2 linked regions of the Lepisosteus oculatus genome follow. The protein of the gene in region 1 interacts with the protein of each later gene in a biochemical or structural test. Links are inferred from orthologs where the notes say so. Each region holds a gene or a part of one and is shown on either strand. Other genes may lie near its edges.

What was found.
Region 2: the proteins of ras GTPase-activating protein 1 (region 1) and dok1b form a complex in vitro, tested with the Homo sapiens proteins (2 studies listed by BioGRID, with this or other methods). The link is inferred for Lepisosteus oculatus from reciprocal best matches to the Homo sapiens genes RASA1 and DOK1.

What each region holds. Positions count from the first base shown.
Region 1 is NC_090698.1:71,890,730-71,899,021, reverse strand, and holds the start of ras GTPase-activating protein 1, read right to left. Parts: upstream 3,347-8,292; 5' UTR 2,424-3,346; coding exon 1,927-2,423; intron 1-1,926. UniProt on the Homo sapiens protein: Inhibitory regulator of the Ras-cyclic AMP pathway. Stimulates the GTPase of normal but not oncogenic Ras p21; this stimulation may be further increased in the presence of NCK1.
Region 2 is NC_090696.1:2,884,375-2,892,594, reverse strand, and holds the start of dok1b (docking protein 1b), read right to left. Parts: upstream 3,789-8,220; 5' UTR 3,380-3,788; coding exon 3,323-3,379; intron 1-3,322. UniProt on the Homo sapiens protein: DOK proteins are enzymatically inert adaptor or scaffolding proteins. They provide a docking platform for the assembly of multimolecular signaling complexes. DOK1 appears to be a negative regulator of the insulin signaling pathway.

The sequences.
Region 1 (8,292 bases):
CCTGCTCTAGAAGAGGGAAACCACATAATCCCCCCAATTTATATATAAAATCAAACTGAAACAAGTCCAGATAAGATCACAGTGTTATCAGAGAATATGAATGTTACACACAACTACAGGAGTAGTATCATCCTATTGACAGTATCTAAGGACTTCATGCAGAGTACAACTGACTTACAGGTATGTATTTTAGTGAGCTATATAGTTTTTCTTTCAGGAGCTTTTTACCTATAAAAAATAGCAGATAACGTATGTTAAATAGAAACCATTTTTAACTCCGCACTGTTGATATCTTGCTGAATCTGTGTGAAGGCCAAGGAATTACACAGGAAAAAGGATCCATTTAAACATACAAACCAGACTCGTATTAATTCAGTTTCAGACCGGAGGCATTTAGGTTAGTAAGGTAAAGCCAAGGAAGGACGTTTTTTGGCTACCAGTAAAGTCTGTGCACTGCAACACCAGGACAAGGGCTGACATTTTTCCAAAGAATTCTATGCCACAAATAACATTCAAATTTCTTGAAGTTGTGCATTTCCAGGATCATGTTAATGCTTGTTTTATATAAACCTACTGGAAAATACTGATTTAACTAATGCTGGCCATTTTATAAAAGTACAATACCTGAACGTGGGGATTTTTGCATCCTGGCTGTTGTGTGGCTTCCATGCACCCCTGAGCAAGACACATTAGTAAGGGTGCGAATCTGTGCTCCAGAACCTTTTCCTTAACAAGGCCTCATCCTCGTGTCTGAGCACGTCTAAATATTTTCATTCCCCTATCGCTTGTGTATATGGCACTAAAGTAAATTCATTTTTCTTTAAATCTGGCGTAAACGTGGCACTAGAGCTAAACGATATCACACCTTGCAGTTGACAACACTTCCTTTGCAGTAGTTCAGTGAGAGGGAACAGCAGCCTTTACTCGTGTGTAACTTGACAGAGCCGAAGCTCACTGCTGTTAACAGGTGGTTAGTGCCCGCACGTGAAAACCTGAAAGCATTTTTTTTTCTCGCCTTCCAATCGTGAGTCTCATGGTTTGCAGCTCTCAAAACCCACACGACTGTAAATTCACTTTTCAATTTTGAACCACTTTCTTTCTCTCCTTACCTGCAACTTCTTGTTCATTTTAATATGCGATCAAGGTATATACCCATCTGTATGCACACATACATATCCATCACCAAAACCTAAGGAACCAGATAAACCGTTCTGTGGCACTATACAGAGCTGCAGGCGTTGTGGGTGTTCACCAAAATTGGCTCAGGATTAACTCCACAGCAAATGAAAACTACAAGAGCGTTTAATTTAGTCCTACTGAATCGAGTTACTTTTTTTTTTAAGCACAATCTCTCTCTCTCTCCCTGCTCAATTAACCAGCTCACGACATTTCCTGTCCCTCGGAATGGACCAGACCCTTGCAGAGCGAGCATACTGTGTTAAGGCAAGAAACTCTCGTCCTGGCGATGAAGTTTTCTTTAGTCTGAGGTAACTGCACTGTAAATGGACAGTACAACAGGAAAGCGTCGCTCTGCAGGTGTCTCAGTGTTGCGTCTGAAGACAGGCCGATTCTTCAAACTCCAATGTTTTAGACAGTAAAAAAGGCCCTGTTCTACCGAGGTGAAAGGATTTGTATCGGCTGTCTGCGACAGGGCGCTGATTCAGCAGCAAGGCTTAGAAAGTTTTTATGGAGAGGTTGTTTGCATCCGGCGCTGCAGCGCTACTCCCTGCAGTTTGAAGCGCACATCAAACCGCTGGCTGTCAACAAGTTGTACCATCAAACTTCACAGCTAAGCGCGGCTCGGATCTCTCCCGAGAGCCCTCTCGTTAACACACAACCGACTTCTTTTCTCTCCCCCGTTTGTTGTGGTGGTGGTGGTGGTTGTTCAAATCATCTTACTTTTTCAATAAATCCCCCCTAACTTACTGGTTCGTAGGCGGCGCGGTCAGCGGGAAGGCGACCTCCTCTTCCTCGTACTCCGCGCCGTCCAGCATGTCGTTTTCGTCCACCGTCCCCAGACCCCCGCAGACGGGGGGCGGCGGAGGAGGGGGCGGCAGAGGGGGGAAGGCGGCGGCGGGCCCGTCCGGACCCCCCGACGTCGGCGACATCCGGATGCCCTGCGCCTCGGGGGTGGGGGGACCCGCCGCCCCGGCCCCCGCGGACGAGCTGCCCCCAGACGGCGAGGGCTGCCCGGCACCGGTGCCACTCCCAGCGCCGGCCACCGGGCACAGGACGACCTCCGAGGGGCCGTCGGGCGGGCGGTGGTGGAGGAGGGCCGGGGCTGCTCCTGGGGCCGACTCACTCACCCGCAATCTCGGCTGGGCAAAGAAAGCAAAGTGGGCCTCCGGGCCTCCGGCGGCAGAAACCCCGGTCCCGGCCGAAACCGAACCTGCCTCCTCGCTTCCGACCTCCGCCGCCATCATGATTTTCTTATAGATTTTTTTTTTCTTCGGGTCCTTCGTTTGTTGTTTCTCGTTGTGTGTGTATATATATATAAAATATGAGCATGCAAAAGAGAGGAGAAAAAGGAAGGAAGGGAGGGAGAGGGGGAATAAAAGGGGTGGAAAAGGGATCCTTCCCCCCAGTCTGTCTTGGGACTCTTGGTTTTTTGTCTCTCTCTCTTGCTCTCTGAACAAACAAAAAAAAAAACAACAAAAAGCTCAGCTCCAAAACTTTCAACTTGGAAGAACTACACCACCTCGCTGGTGCTCCGCCGCCACAGTCCTGCTGAATGCACACGCTCGACAAACCTCCCCCCCCACACACACACACACCCCCCTCCAAAACAAAAACAAAACAACCGCGGACGGCTGGGCTCCAAAAATGAGTTTTTAAGTCTCCATCCTCGTCGCCGGGCTGGGGAAAAGTTGAAGAAAGTGTGGCACCGAGCGAGCAGGGTGCGAGGCAGAGACACGGCGTCTCCCCTCTCCGGGGCAGCAGGTCCACTTGTCGGGAGCGTGTGGCTTATTGTCAGTCTCTGCCTCCCAGGCTTCTGTCTTTCTTTCTTTTTTGTCTCTCTCCCTCTCTCTTCTTCTGCTTTGCTTGTTTCAGCGGCGATTTCCAGCCTGCAGTTGTGAACACCTCTCCTCTCTCTCTCTCTCTCGCCCCCTGGCCGTTGCAATGCCCGTTTCCTCCGCTCGCTTCTGTTTTAGATTGGCCCCTCGCCGTAGCCCAGCCGGATGTGAAAAAATTGTTAGATTGTTTCTTGCGCAAGTTGGTGTTTTTTTTTTTTGTTCGTTGCGCTGCCGAGAGCTGTGGGTTGTTGTTTTTTTTCCCCCTCCCCTGCGCTGCCGAGAGAGCTATAGCTCTTACCTCTCTCTCCCGTACTGGAAGCGTGTTGACGCTCAGGCTCAGACCCGGCCAAGCGAGCGCCGAGCGGCTCGACCGCGCCTTCGATTCGCCCGGCTTCTGAGAAAATCACTGCCTGAGAAGTGGGGCAATGGAATGGATTTCTCTTATTTAAAAAAAACAAACAAACAACAACAACTCTTTTTTTACCATTATACAGAAAAACAACAACGTAAACTGGGGCAGAAGAGGAACGTTTAACTTATTTTTTTCCCTGTACAGTAACATTTTGGACAACCCCCTTCAATCTCTGTGGACAACCTACTACTACTACTGCCAGAATAAAATAACTGAATCTTTTCAACGCTGAACAGAGAAGACTAGGAGGGGTGTTCAGAACAGTGTTCAAAACCCCCCCGAAGCACTGACAGAGAGATAAACCTGACTTCTTCAGGCCTGAAAGTGAAAAATAAACCAGCAGGCATAAGTGGGATCTATGGATGAGTGCATTTAAAGCTTAGAACAGGAGGCTCTTCTCTACACAGAGGACTGCAGGAGTATGGAACAGTACGTGTAGCTGAAGCTAGAGTCCTGGCTTCTTTCAAGGAACAGCTGAATCAATGAAAACAGCTAGGATCAATTAGCTACTGATAATGCACATTAGCTGGTCTAATGACCTGATTATTTCTAAGCTTTCTTGTGTTTTATTCACCAGTGTATACAGTAAGTACACAACACATTGTAGAGCCATCTGCCAGGACAGTGTCCAAGGAGCTAGGAAAGGGAGCTCAGGATATTGGGACTGGCTCTGTGGGAATGATGGGAAGCCTCCATCGACAGTACACGGCTGTGTAGCATTTCTTTGTCTGAGCTGTTCCTTTGTTGCTCCCTTCTGTCACACTGTCACCCTGCCTGCCTTGGCTGCTTCAATATCCGTGGGGTCCAGCCTCCCATGCGTGAGTCTGAGTGCTCCCTGTGTTGGTGATTCTGAGTATTTCAGGCTTAAATGAGGGGCGTGGCTCAATAATGAGCCCGGTTCTGCCCCTGGGAGTCCCTTCCTGGCGCTAGAAACTTGCATCTGTTTAAAAGCACTGCAGTATGTACATTAATATGCTGCGGCGTTTATACTTGCCTCTTTACTCATTCTTACAATGACTTTCATTTGTACGCCTTACACTCATATTCCTACCCTCTCCCTCAACTCCCTGCACAACTAGAAACACAGGCAAATTACCGGGTTTCTTCCCATTTTCCTTCTAGTGTGGAATCACCACTACTTGTCAAATCCAAAACAGGGTCACGGGGAGCCTGGAGTGTCAGAGCCGACATTGGCAAGCTACAGGCATGAGATGAGGTACCCCCTGGATGGGACACACACTCACACCAGGGCTTATTTTCCCAGAAGCCAATTAACCTACCAGTTGGTCTTTTTAACCATGGGAGGAAAGCCATGCAAACAGTAGGAGAACATAGAAGCTCCACGCAGATAGCATCCCAGGAACTGAAAACAGGGCCCCAGTTCTGTGAGGCAGTGATGCTAACCACTGTGCCACTGTGCTGCCCTTGCAACAGTTTTGTAGTTCTGAATCTAATACTTTAATACAATTGTTAATTTAATCTCAATATAAGGAAGAAAAATCTATGTTCTGATTGTTTCAGTTGCTCAGGGAGTTACTCAGAACATTTGCCTTTTGCAGGTGTTCCCTGATGTGACAGTCACCCTAATACAACCACCACGCCAGCATACATAGTGTAACGCTTATGGCCGACAAGCACTGTGTGTAAGAGCCGGCGTACCAGAGCGGGTGACGTCACCGCCCTTCCCTGTGATAGCAGGACCACAGCTACTGGGCTGTGGAGAGATCTCTCATTAGCTCACGGGGCTAGGTCGCTGCAGAGAGATGCGGAAGTCCCGGGTTCGAGCCTCCAGTCGGGATGGGGCCGACCAGATGCGGCAAGGGAAGGGCGGTGACGTCACCTGCTCTGGTACGCCGGCTCTTACACACAGTGTTACAATATCATCCTACAACTCACAGCTGGCAGCCCACTGGAGCTCAGCAGGTGTGAGCCTGGTCAGTACCTGGATGGGAGACCTCCTGGGAAAAACTAAAAAGGTGTTAGTGGGGCCAGCAGGTGACACTCACCCTGCGGTCCATGTGGGTCCTCATGCCCCAGTAATATAATAATAATAATAAACTTTATTTTATATAGCGCCTTTAAAGGTGGCTTCTCAAAGCGCTTTACAGGATGACAATAACAATAAATAAGAAGACTACAACAATAAATAAGAAAATTTCACAAGACAGGACACAATTATGATTGCAACAATACAACAGTAACAATAGAGGAGACCGTAGAAGATGGTATTAAGAAGAGCAGAGGGGTGAAGAATGGAACCAGTTAAGTAAAGGCTTTTCTGAAAAGGAGGGTTTTGAGTCTGGATTTGAAGGAGTTTAGAGAAGGTGACTCTCTAATATCCTTGGGCAAAGAGTTCCAGAGCTTGGGGGCATAGCAGGAGAAGGCCCTGTCGCCCATACAATGTAGACGGGCTTGGGGGACAGTAAGGAGGGCAGAATTTGAAGAGCGGAGGTTGCGAGGTGGGGAGTAGGGCGATAAAAGTTCAGACAGGTATTGAGGTGCCAGGCCATGTAAAGCCTTGTAGGTGAGCATGAGGATTTTAAAGTCTACACGGAATTTGACCGGAAGCCAGTGCAAGGACTCCAGGATAGGAGTAATGTGAACACTTGCACTAGACCTGGTCAGGATTCTGGCTGCTGAATTTTGGACATACTGCAGCTTGTTCAGAGTAGATTTAGATACCCCAGGGAGCAGAGCATTGCAGTAGTCAATTCGAGAGAATACAAATATGTTGATTAGCTTTTCAGCCACAGTTAATGATAGCATAGGGCGTAGTCTTGCGATATTTCTAAGGTGAAAAAAAGATGTTTTGACAGTATGCTGTACATGTGGGTCGAATGTTAAGCCAGAATCGAATATAACCCCAAGGTTTTTCAATTTTGATTGGAGCTCAAGTACAGAGCCATCTACAGACAGGGTTACAGGACTGGCTTTACGAAGTTGATGGGGGGTACCAATAAGCATGACTTCAGTCTTGTCACAGTTAAGATGAAGGAAGTTTTGAGTCATCCAAATTTTTATGTCAGAGATGCAATTAGATAGAATAGAGACAGCCACATCAGTGTCGGGTTTGGTATGGATGTATATTTGAGTATCGTCAGCGTAAAATAGTGATGGGGACACAATACTGTGCCGGATGAGACATAAAACCAAAGTCCTGACTCTCTGTGGTCATTAACAATCCCAGGGTGTCTCTCAAAAAGAGTAGGGCTGTTACGCCAGTGTCCTGGCAAAATTTCCCATTGGCCCTTACCAATCATGGCCTCCTAATAATCCTCATCTAAGAATTGGCTTCATTACTCTGTTCTCCTCCCCACTAATAGCTGATGTGTGGTAAGTGTACTGGCGCACTATAGCTGCCGTTGCATGATCCAGGTGGGGGCTGCACTTTTGGACTGGTAGAAGGGAATCCCCATTACCTGTAAAGCGCTTTGAGTGGAGTGTCCAGAAAAGTACCACATAAGCGTAAGGAATTACTATTATAATTATTACATACACACAGGCTGCCAGACCTTATAACCGCTGAATGAGGGTGAGTTTGACAACAGAGTGAAGATTTCAGCCATCTTAATGGGGTGGAGCCGTGGCACTGTGGCTAAGAATCTGCGTCTGTGGCTGGAAGGTTGCCAGAGGAATCCTACTCCGTTGGGCCCCTGAGCAAGGCCCTTAACCCCAGCTGCTCCAGGGGCCCTGTATAAATGACAGACCCTGTGCTCTGACCCCAAGATTCTTTTCCTATCTGTGTGTCTCATGGAGAGCAAGCTGGGGTATGCAAAAATACAAATTCCTAATGCAAGAAATTGTATATGGCTAATAAAGTGATCTTATCTTAAACAGAATGGAAAGAGGTGATACTATTCTGCTGAGGGTTTTGACAAAATGGCTAGAATATCGGCAGCTGTGATTGCTAACAGGCACTGGTAGAGAAAAGGAGCAGTGGAGAGGAAGCCCACACTAGGACTGAGAACTTGGCTGCTGTGAATATCCTGTTCCATGGGCTGAGTTGCTGACTCATCGTTTTAGGTTGTGATTGGTTGTGATTGGCCTCTGTGTTCTCAGTTTCTATTGGTTCATGTTTCACAGCTTTGTTTTGGATTGGTTTGGGGTGTCTTCTTTTCAGACTGTCTGTTATTAGGTTAGGGGATAATCCACTTGTGCCATCTGAGACCCCATAAAAGGGTACTCTTTGGTCTGCTTAGTCTCCTGAATATGAACCACTATGAACCAATATGAAAGGTTTTCACTCTTATTCCTGTCTTTCCACAATCTTCAAAGCCTCAGCCAGGATGCTGATTTGCTCAGTTCAACAGATTATTTGGAAAATAAGTGGAGGGTAATAAGATAATACATTGTTTTCTCAGCTTTCTCTAATGCTTTTATAGTCTGGGATGCCTGAACAGATAGCGAACTCCAGTTTATGGTTATAGTCCCAGTAAAAATCCCAGTAAGGAAATTTGACTTGTTCCCCTTTGTTTCACAGGCACTTCAGAACTTCTAAATTGTTCAAAGAACTCAAACCAATTAGTTTACCTACTGTAGACCCACCTTTTTCTAAATCCATATTGATCCTTTAATATATAATTAGCATAAGTATGATTCTCTATATGAGTTAAAATGATTGTTTCATTAACCTTATGTAATAGAATTAAAACCTAATGGTCTGTAATTACTTGATTCCATTTTTTCACCCTTTTCTGCATTGACACTACTTCAGCAATTTCCAGTAGGTATTACCTCTGTATCAAAAACACTGCCATCTTTCCTTCCTCAATACTAATATTTGTTAATACTTTACAATACTTGTGCTTACACTGCCTGAAACATGTTATCTGTTCCTTCCTTGATGAACAGTGAAATATTTTGCTA
Region 2 (8,220 bases), on another chromosome or scaffold:
TGCCTGGAGAAAACATGGTGCTCACTCTGTGGACAGTCCTCTGTCTGTGCTGCTGTACACACAAAGAAGGCTCCACAGCCGAAACGCTGTGCTTCTTTTCTTCTCTATTCAGCATGGAATAAACCTTTACTTGATCCTTTGCATCTTCAGTGCAGTGTGACAGAGAGCTGTAGTGAACTCAACCCACTACAGTGCAGTGTGACAGAGAGGTATACTGAACTCATCCCACTTCAGTGCAGTAGGACAGAGAGCTGTAGTGAACTCAACCCACTACAGTGCAATGTGACAGAGAGCTGTAGTGAACTCAACCCACTACAGTGCAGTGTGACAGAGAGGTATACTGAACTCATCCCACTACAGTGCCTCGTGACAGAGAGGTATAGTGAACTCATCCCACTACAGTGCCTCTTGATAGAGAGGAATAGTGAATTCATCCCACTACAGTGCCTTGTGACAGAGAGGCATAGTGAACTCATCCCACTACAGTGCCTCGTGACAGAGAGGTATAGTGAACTCATCCCACTACAGTGCCTCGTAACAGAGAGATGCAGTGTGTTTCTGAAACAGGACTCCTCCAGCAAAGGAGTTTCTCTGAGTGGGTAGCCCTGAGTCAATCTGCACACACGTCACAACAGGTCTCTTTCTGTAGGCGAGGTGCAGGAGGGTGCTATTACACAGTGCTTTGGGCGTTCTGGTTTCGTCTGCCCACCTAGAAACCATCCCATTCCTGTGACAAGGCCTCATCTCTTTCACAGTGACGCAATCAGACTCCGTGCACTTTCTACAGTGACTGCCTTATTGCTCCAGGGCATGACATCGAGGAAGTAAAAATTACAATCTGATGTGAAAAACTCTGCAAAAAAGTGCAAAGACTCATTTTTAACAATATTCTTACCACCAACGTGCTGTGGTATGGTCCATGCCTTCCATACATAGTCCAAAAAACAACAAACGTCTCTGCCTCCTCTGTCAGACAATCACAAAAGACTCATTTTATAACTCACAGAATTGTACCAATGTTTTAAAGGATTCAGAACGTTGTTTTCACTGATGCAATGCCATCGCTTGTCTTCTAGGGATTCCTCTGCAGGGGACGATGTTCAAACTGCCTGCTTACGAGCTGCTAGTAACAGTACGAGGTCTCCTCACTCTCCACTCCACTTATGCCTTCAAGCACAGGTTTAAGTTATTGTGCCTCACCTCTCAGGAATGTGTTTCTTTGTGGAATAAGTGAAGCACAACATTCTTCAGCTCAATTCTCTCGTGTGGTGAATGAAGACGGTCCCTCCCACAGATATTTGGGATGCTTGTGAATGAAAAGCTCAATCAACATACAGCAAAATCAGTTCTTGGTAGTGGAAGGCAACTTATCAATTCATCTTTTACTTGCTTTAGCTGACAGTTTTATTGGAAGTAGCACATGCTTGTATTTATACAACTGACCACCTTACTGAAACAGCTCAAGCAAAGGGTTCAATAGCTGTTCCCTGTGATTGGAACCTGCAACCACCCCATCATACGTCCAGGGCCTTAACAGCTACTCAACACTCCTGCCTTCAAGTCCTGAACGGAAATCTCTTCTCCACCTGCACGAACTCTGAGCTTTATATGCACAGCTGCTGTTCATAAAAATCAGTTTAAGATCAGTGTCATGCAAGGCGGCCTGTAAGGAAGAAGTAGAGAGCACTCCAATTTCTGAGCTGACTTACTTGAGGTACTGGGCTAGAGTGCCTCCATCCCATTCCCATGGTCCAACTGCAGCCCACAGCATGACACTCAAACTAGGACTTGGGCTCACAACACCAAGCACCAGCAGGACCGAGGAAACACAACTGTCTAAGGTGACTGAGCTCAGTCCCAGAATGCAGGAGGCTGTATAAGTGTCTAAGGTGCCGCTGCAGTAGGTGACTGAGCTGTCAGAGTCATTATGCCAACACTCCCCCACCCCCATGGAGACAGCATCTCAGTGATCCGTACAGAAAGCCAAGGTCTGACCTGCTCTGATTTCACAGAGCACAGAGCACATCCTGGTGGCTGGTGGATGTCTCAGGCACATACGAGTGGACAACAGTTGTTGGCCTTTCAGTTTATCTATCCTTTCCTACAAGCCAGCAGTCAGATTCCCAGTTCATGGGAGACTCCGTGTTGCTCCAGGACTGGTCAGGGCCCTGGAGTGGTGACTAGGAGGTGGAGGGCTCATATTCCAGGTAGGACACAAGCAGCAAAAGTAAAACAGTAAAATGCTGAACAATGGGAGGTCGCTTTGGATAAAGATGTTAGCAACTATATTAACAGTGATGTTGTGGTGCAATGCTTCAGCCAAAGTCCAACTGCTCTAACAGCCAAATCACTCAGCTCTTGTGAACTTCCTCCTCAGGCCTGCACATTTTCCTATGCTACCTGTCAGAAGCTCATAGCGTTAGTGTCACCCGTGTGAACGTCAGTGTTATCGCTGCACCTGTTTCCGAACTCACAAGTTCACGTAACTCACTACTGAGTCCAACTTCTCGTGACCGCATTGACCTAGCTCTGTCGTAACAGCACACGCGAAGAAAGCGGCCACAGGATCGTTTTGTCGTGAGATATGCTCTGTCTTATGCAATGTTTTCCAATAAATCTAGATATGCAATAATTCCAGCAACTCGCTCATGGCCAACTACGCCAATGCACAAATCACATCACTAAGCCTCCGTATTCCTTAAATAAACGCTTTTCGGGTACACTGTTTTTGATATCCTTAGACAACATCCACTAACTCAACACAGCCCTTTGTCCTGCTCCACTTTGCATAAACTGAAGAGAATCCAGAGGCGATTATCTGCAAACCTTGCGTGGGTAACTTTCCTCGTCTAGTATCTGCTAGTTTTTTTTTTAAGAAAATGAAACATGGATGAGAGAGGAAGGTTACACAATCCGCACAGGGCTCAACGTTTCACCCCCCTATGGAGATTAACGACAATCACCGACGATTACTTTCGAATGCGTTCTTTTACCCAAAACCGAAAAAAAAGTGCAAAACACTGCTCTTCACGCACGCATTCAGCACAGCCACCTCTGCCTTCTCCTCCGACTTCCTCTTTTAAAAGAGTTTCATTACTGTCAGTGCACCGAAGTGCAACAAAAAACTAAACTTTATTACCCAGAGGGTTCAACGTGACACACGGCAGAAAGACTGCGGCTGGAAGGATTCAAGTCACTTTGTGAACCGTGCGCCCTGACAGACGGGCAGGGCAGTGCAGGGGCGGGTGTGTGCGCACCGATGAGCGCTCTGGGGAGACAGCCTGCCCCAGCCTGTCAGACAGCACACGATCTCGGTCTTTACCTTGCCAAACTTCTGGTGCTGGACGTAGAGTTGGCCTTCTTTAACGTGCGTATCCATCTCCTTCCGTTCCCCCCGAGAGAGGGTTTTGTTTTCTTGTGAACTTGTCACACGGTTGAATGACTTTTTTTTCTCCTTTTCAGTTTCTTAACTTCTTTTTTTTTCGCCCCCAGACTTCCTACTGCCTGTAACTTCCGCTTGGCAAACGGCAGACGTTGGGGCTTGTGCACCAGCTGCGCTACCGAGAGCCACTGAGCCCGGACTGCTCCTGCTGCCCCATCGGCCACGCGAAGCGTCGCTGCCTCCGCGGCGTGCAAGCCGTGTTCTCCGCGCGAGCGCACGCAGGTCCCCGCCACGCCGCGCCACGCCTCGCAGCGAGTGTGAGTGCGGGACCGGGCTGTGACAGGCGCTGTACTTCGGTCCCCGCCAGCTCCCTCCCTCCGGCTCTGCCCCCGCACAGCGACCCAGCCCCCTCCGCACCCACCCCGCGCCGCGTCACGAGTGGCACAGCGGGGGCCCGGCAGCGCGCAAGCGGACGTTTCGCCCAAAATGTAGCAAAAAAAAACAACACAATTTTGTTCCAACTTAGAATTGCAAGAAGCGCTGAGAAACTCAATGGAGTGATGGACGTGTTTCACATTAAAAGTTGCGCATTAGTAATAGGTGAATGTATATAAAATGTGAATTTGGCTGCGCAGAGTGTGGCATTTACAGTTGTCTGATCTGGGTAAAACTCATTTGGGGAAACATATTTTTAAATTGTTTTCCTGAGCGTTTAAAAGTGAGCTTCTGGCGATGCGTGGCTGACTTGTTCAGTCTTTGTAATTGTATTGTTGCCTCTAGATGGAATTGATCAAATTCAAATGTAGAATGCCAAGTATTAACTATTAATTATCAAGAGCGCACACGTTAAGCACATTACAGGATCATTTAGACACTGCGGTTAGAAGAGTGTACATTTTAAAATCAATTGAAGTTGATGTTTAGGTTACACAATCTGGTATGACCCCAGTTTGAATACTTCGACATGTGGGCGCTACAGGACCAAAGACGACTTTCCTGCTCTGCTCTGCTCGGCAAGTGGGTTAGTTCGGGGCTCGAGGGAAATGCTGTGCAGACACGGAATCTCTTCAGTCCTCGACAAGAAACTATCAGAGCGCTGGATACCCCCGTAGTTAAAACGCTCAAGAGGAAATTGATCAAGTCCGTCCGAGTCATATGGATTCCCAGACCAACTGGAAAACAAGAATGAGGACGCGAAAAAGACACAAGTAGAAAAGGGCTTTTCTTTACACAAAGGATTGTTGTGTAGAAGTACTGTAAATCCCACCCGGGTCCTACGCGAAAAAATCACGACCGAGATCATCGCAGAAGCAAGGTAATATCAAGAGCGCTGTTAGTGTTACTGACTCATGACCTTCCACCGCCCGAATCAAGAGCGAGAGCTCGGTCATCCTCGACCCCCGCAGCTGTCAACCGGCTGCATCTGAAACAGCGGCGCGTATTTGCTTTACATCTGTTTGCTCTCCCATCATTCATCTGTTAAATGTGTACTGTGTGAAGTGTCATGTCTTGAGCTGCATGCACGGCACATTCTCCATCTGGGTCAGTGAAGTACAGGGAGAGCACAAATCAAGAGACGGGTCAGATGGTCTCTGTCATCTTTATTTTCACTCGTGCACCCGATCCTGAAACATAACACAAATTCATTGATAGAGAAATAACCTACTAAATTACCTATAATTAATATCGGCTTGGACAACACTTCTTGTGATACAGAAAACAAGATCTCCAGAGCTTTACACATTCATTTTAATATCACAGACATGGCCACGGAAACCGCGACATCCTTCATTTAATTTTCATATTTTATTTGGTGTAATATATAGTTCCTTGATTTCAACCCATTCATCAATGATGTGCGTTTAAGGATTATAGAAAGGCGGTTTTATTCATAACACATTTTCCACACACTTGAAGTTAGCAGTGGTTTCGCTGAATGTCTACGCAATTCGCAGATTTCTTTAAATAACGATTCGATCGAACACAAAACTATCAATTAAATCACGGGTGCTGTGGCTTATGACTTTATTTTCCAGCTACGTTTCCCTGCTCTGGGAAAGCCCAGTGTTTGCATTAAGCACCGTGAAGGTGCAGTTCAGTCAGCTGAGGCATCAGAGCCAAAGGCGCAGCGAGATATCAAGTGCTGGTGGAGTCTAGCTAGAGGGCGCTACAAACACTCCTGCTTGAATCAGAAGAGTCCTACTGGGGGAGGGAGGAGGAAACTCAAGAGAGTTGCAGCCCAGTGTGAGATCTGCTGTCCCAGCCTGAGGAACAAACAGTGAGTCTGTCTCTCAATAACAATAATACAGTGTGTGATCTCCTGTCCCAGCCTGAGGAACAGTGAGTCTGTCTCTCAATAATAATAATACAGTGTGTGATCTCCTGTCCCAGCCTGAGGAACAGACAGTGAGCCCGTCTCTCAATAATAATAATACAGTGTGTGATCTCCTGTCCCAGCCTGAGGAACAGTGAGTCTGTCTCTCAATAATAATAATACAGTGTGTGATCTCCTGTCCCAGCCTGAGGAACAGACAGTGAGCCTGTCTCTCAATAATAATAATAGTGTGTGATCTCCTGTCCCAGCCTGAGGAACAGTGAGCCTGTCTCTCAATAATAATAATACAGTGTGTGATTTCCTGTCTCAGTCTGAGGAACAGACAGTGAGCCTGTCTCTCAATAATAATAATACAGTGTGTGATCTCCTGTCCCAGCCTGAGGAACAGTGAGCCTGTCTCTCAATAATAATAATACAGTGTGTGATTTCCTGTCTCAGTCTGAGGAACAGACAGTGAGCCTGTCTCTCAATAATAATAATACAGTGTGCGATCTCCTGTCTCAGTCTGAGGAACAGACAGTGAGCCTGTCTCTCAATAATAATAATACAGTGTGTGATCTCCTGTCCCAGCCTGAGGAACAGTGAGTCTGTCTCTCAATAATAATAATTCAGTGTGTGATCTCCTGTCCCAGCCTGAGGAACAGACAGTGAGCCTGTCTCTCAATAATAATAATACAGTGTGTGATCTCCTGTCCCAGCCTGAGGAACAGACAGTGAACCCGTCTCTCAATAATAATAATACAGTGTCATCTCCTGACACAGCCTGAGGAACAGACAGTGAGCCTGTCCCTAAATAATAATAATACAGTGTGTGATCTCCTGACATAGCCTGAGGAACAAACAGTGAGTCTGTCTCTCAATAATAATAATACAGTGTGTGATCTCCTGTCCCAGCCTGAGGAACAGTGAGCCTGTTTCTCAATAATAATAATACAGTGTGTGATCTGCTGTCCCAGCCTGAGGAACAGTGAGCCTGTCTCTCAATAATAATAATACAGTGTGTGATCTCCTGTCCTAGCCTGAGGAACAGACAGTGAGCCTGGCTCTCAATAATAATAATACAGTGTGTGATCTCCTGTCCCAGCCTGAGGAACAGACAGTGACCCTGTCTCTCAATAATAATACAGTGTGTGATCTCCTGTCCCAGCCTGAGAAACAGACAGTGAGCCTGTCTCTCAATAATAATAATAGTGTGTGATCTCCTGTCCCAGCCTGAGGAACAGTGAGCCTGTCTCTCAATAATAATAATACAGTGTGTGATTTCCTGTCTCAGTCTGAGGAACAGACAGTGAGCCTGTCTCTCAATAATAATAATACAGTGTGTGATCTCCTGTCCCAGCCTGAGGAACAGTGAGCCTGTCTCTCAATAATAATAATACAGTGTGTGATTTCCTGTCTCAGTCTGAGGAACAGACAGTGAGCCTGTCTCTCAATAATAATAATACAGTGTGCGATCTCCTGTCTCAGTCTGAGGAACAGACAGTGAGCCTGTCTCTCAATAATAATAATACAGTGTGTGATCTCCTGTCCCAGCCTGAGGAACAGTGAGTCTGTCTCTCAATAATAATAATACAGTGTGTGATCTCCTGTCCCAGCCTGAGGAACAGACAGTGAGCCTGTCTCTCAATAATAATAATACAGTGTGTGATCTCCTGTCCCAGCCTGAGGAACAGACAGTGAACCCGTCTCTCAATAATAATAATACAGTGTCATCTCCTGACACAGCCTGAGGAACAGACAGTGAGCCTGTCCCTAAATAATAATAATACAGTGTGTGATCTCCTGACATAGCCTGAGGAACAAACAGTGAGTCTGTCTCTCAATAATAATAATAATACAGTGTGTGATCTCCTGTCCCAGCCTGAGGAACAGTGAGCCTGTTTCTCAATAATAATAATACAGTGTGTGATCTGCTGTCCCAGCCTGAGGAACAGTGAGCCTGTCTCTCAATAATAATAATACAGTGTGTGATCTCCTGTCCTAGCCTGAGGAACAGACAGTGAGCCTGGCTCTCAATAATAATAATACAGTGTGTGATCTCCTGTCCCAGCCTGAGGAACAGACAGTGACCCTGTCTCTCAATAATAATACAGTGTGTGATCTCCTGTCCCAGCCTGAGAAACAGACAGTGAGCCTGTCTCTCAATAATAATAATAGTGTGTGATCTCCTGTCCCAGCCTGAGGAACAGTGAGCCTGTCTCTCAATAATAATAATACAGTGTGTGATTTCCTGTCTCAGTCTGAGGAACAGACAGTGAGCCTGTCTCTCAATAATAATAATACAGTGTGTGATCTCCTGTCCCAGCCTGAGGAACAGTGAGCCTGTCTCTCAATAATAATAATACAGTGTGTGATTTCCTGTCTCAGTCTGAGGAACAGACAGTGAGCCTGTCTCTCAATAATAATAATACAGTGTGCGATCTCCTGTCTCAGTCTGAGGAACAGACAGTGAGCCTGTCTCTCAATAATAATAATACAGTGTGTGATCTCCTGTCCCAGCCTG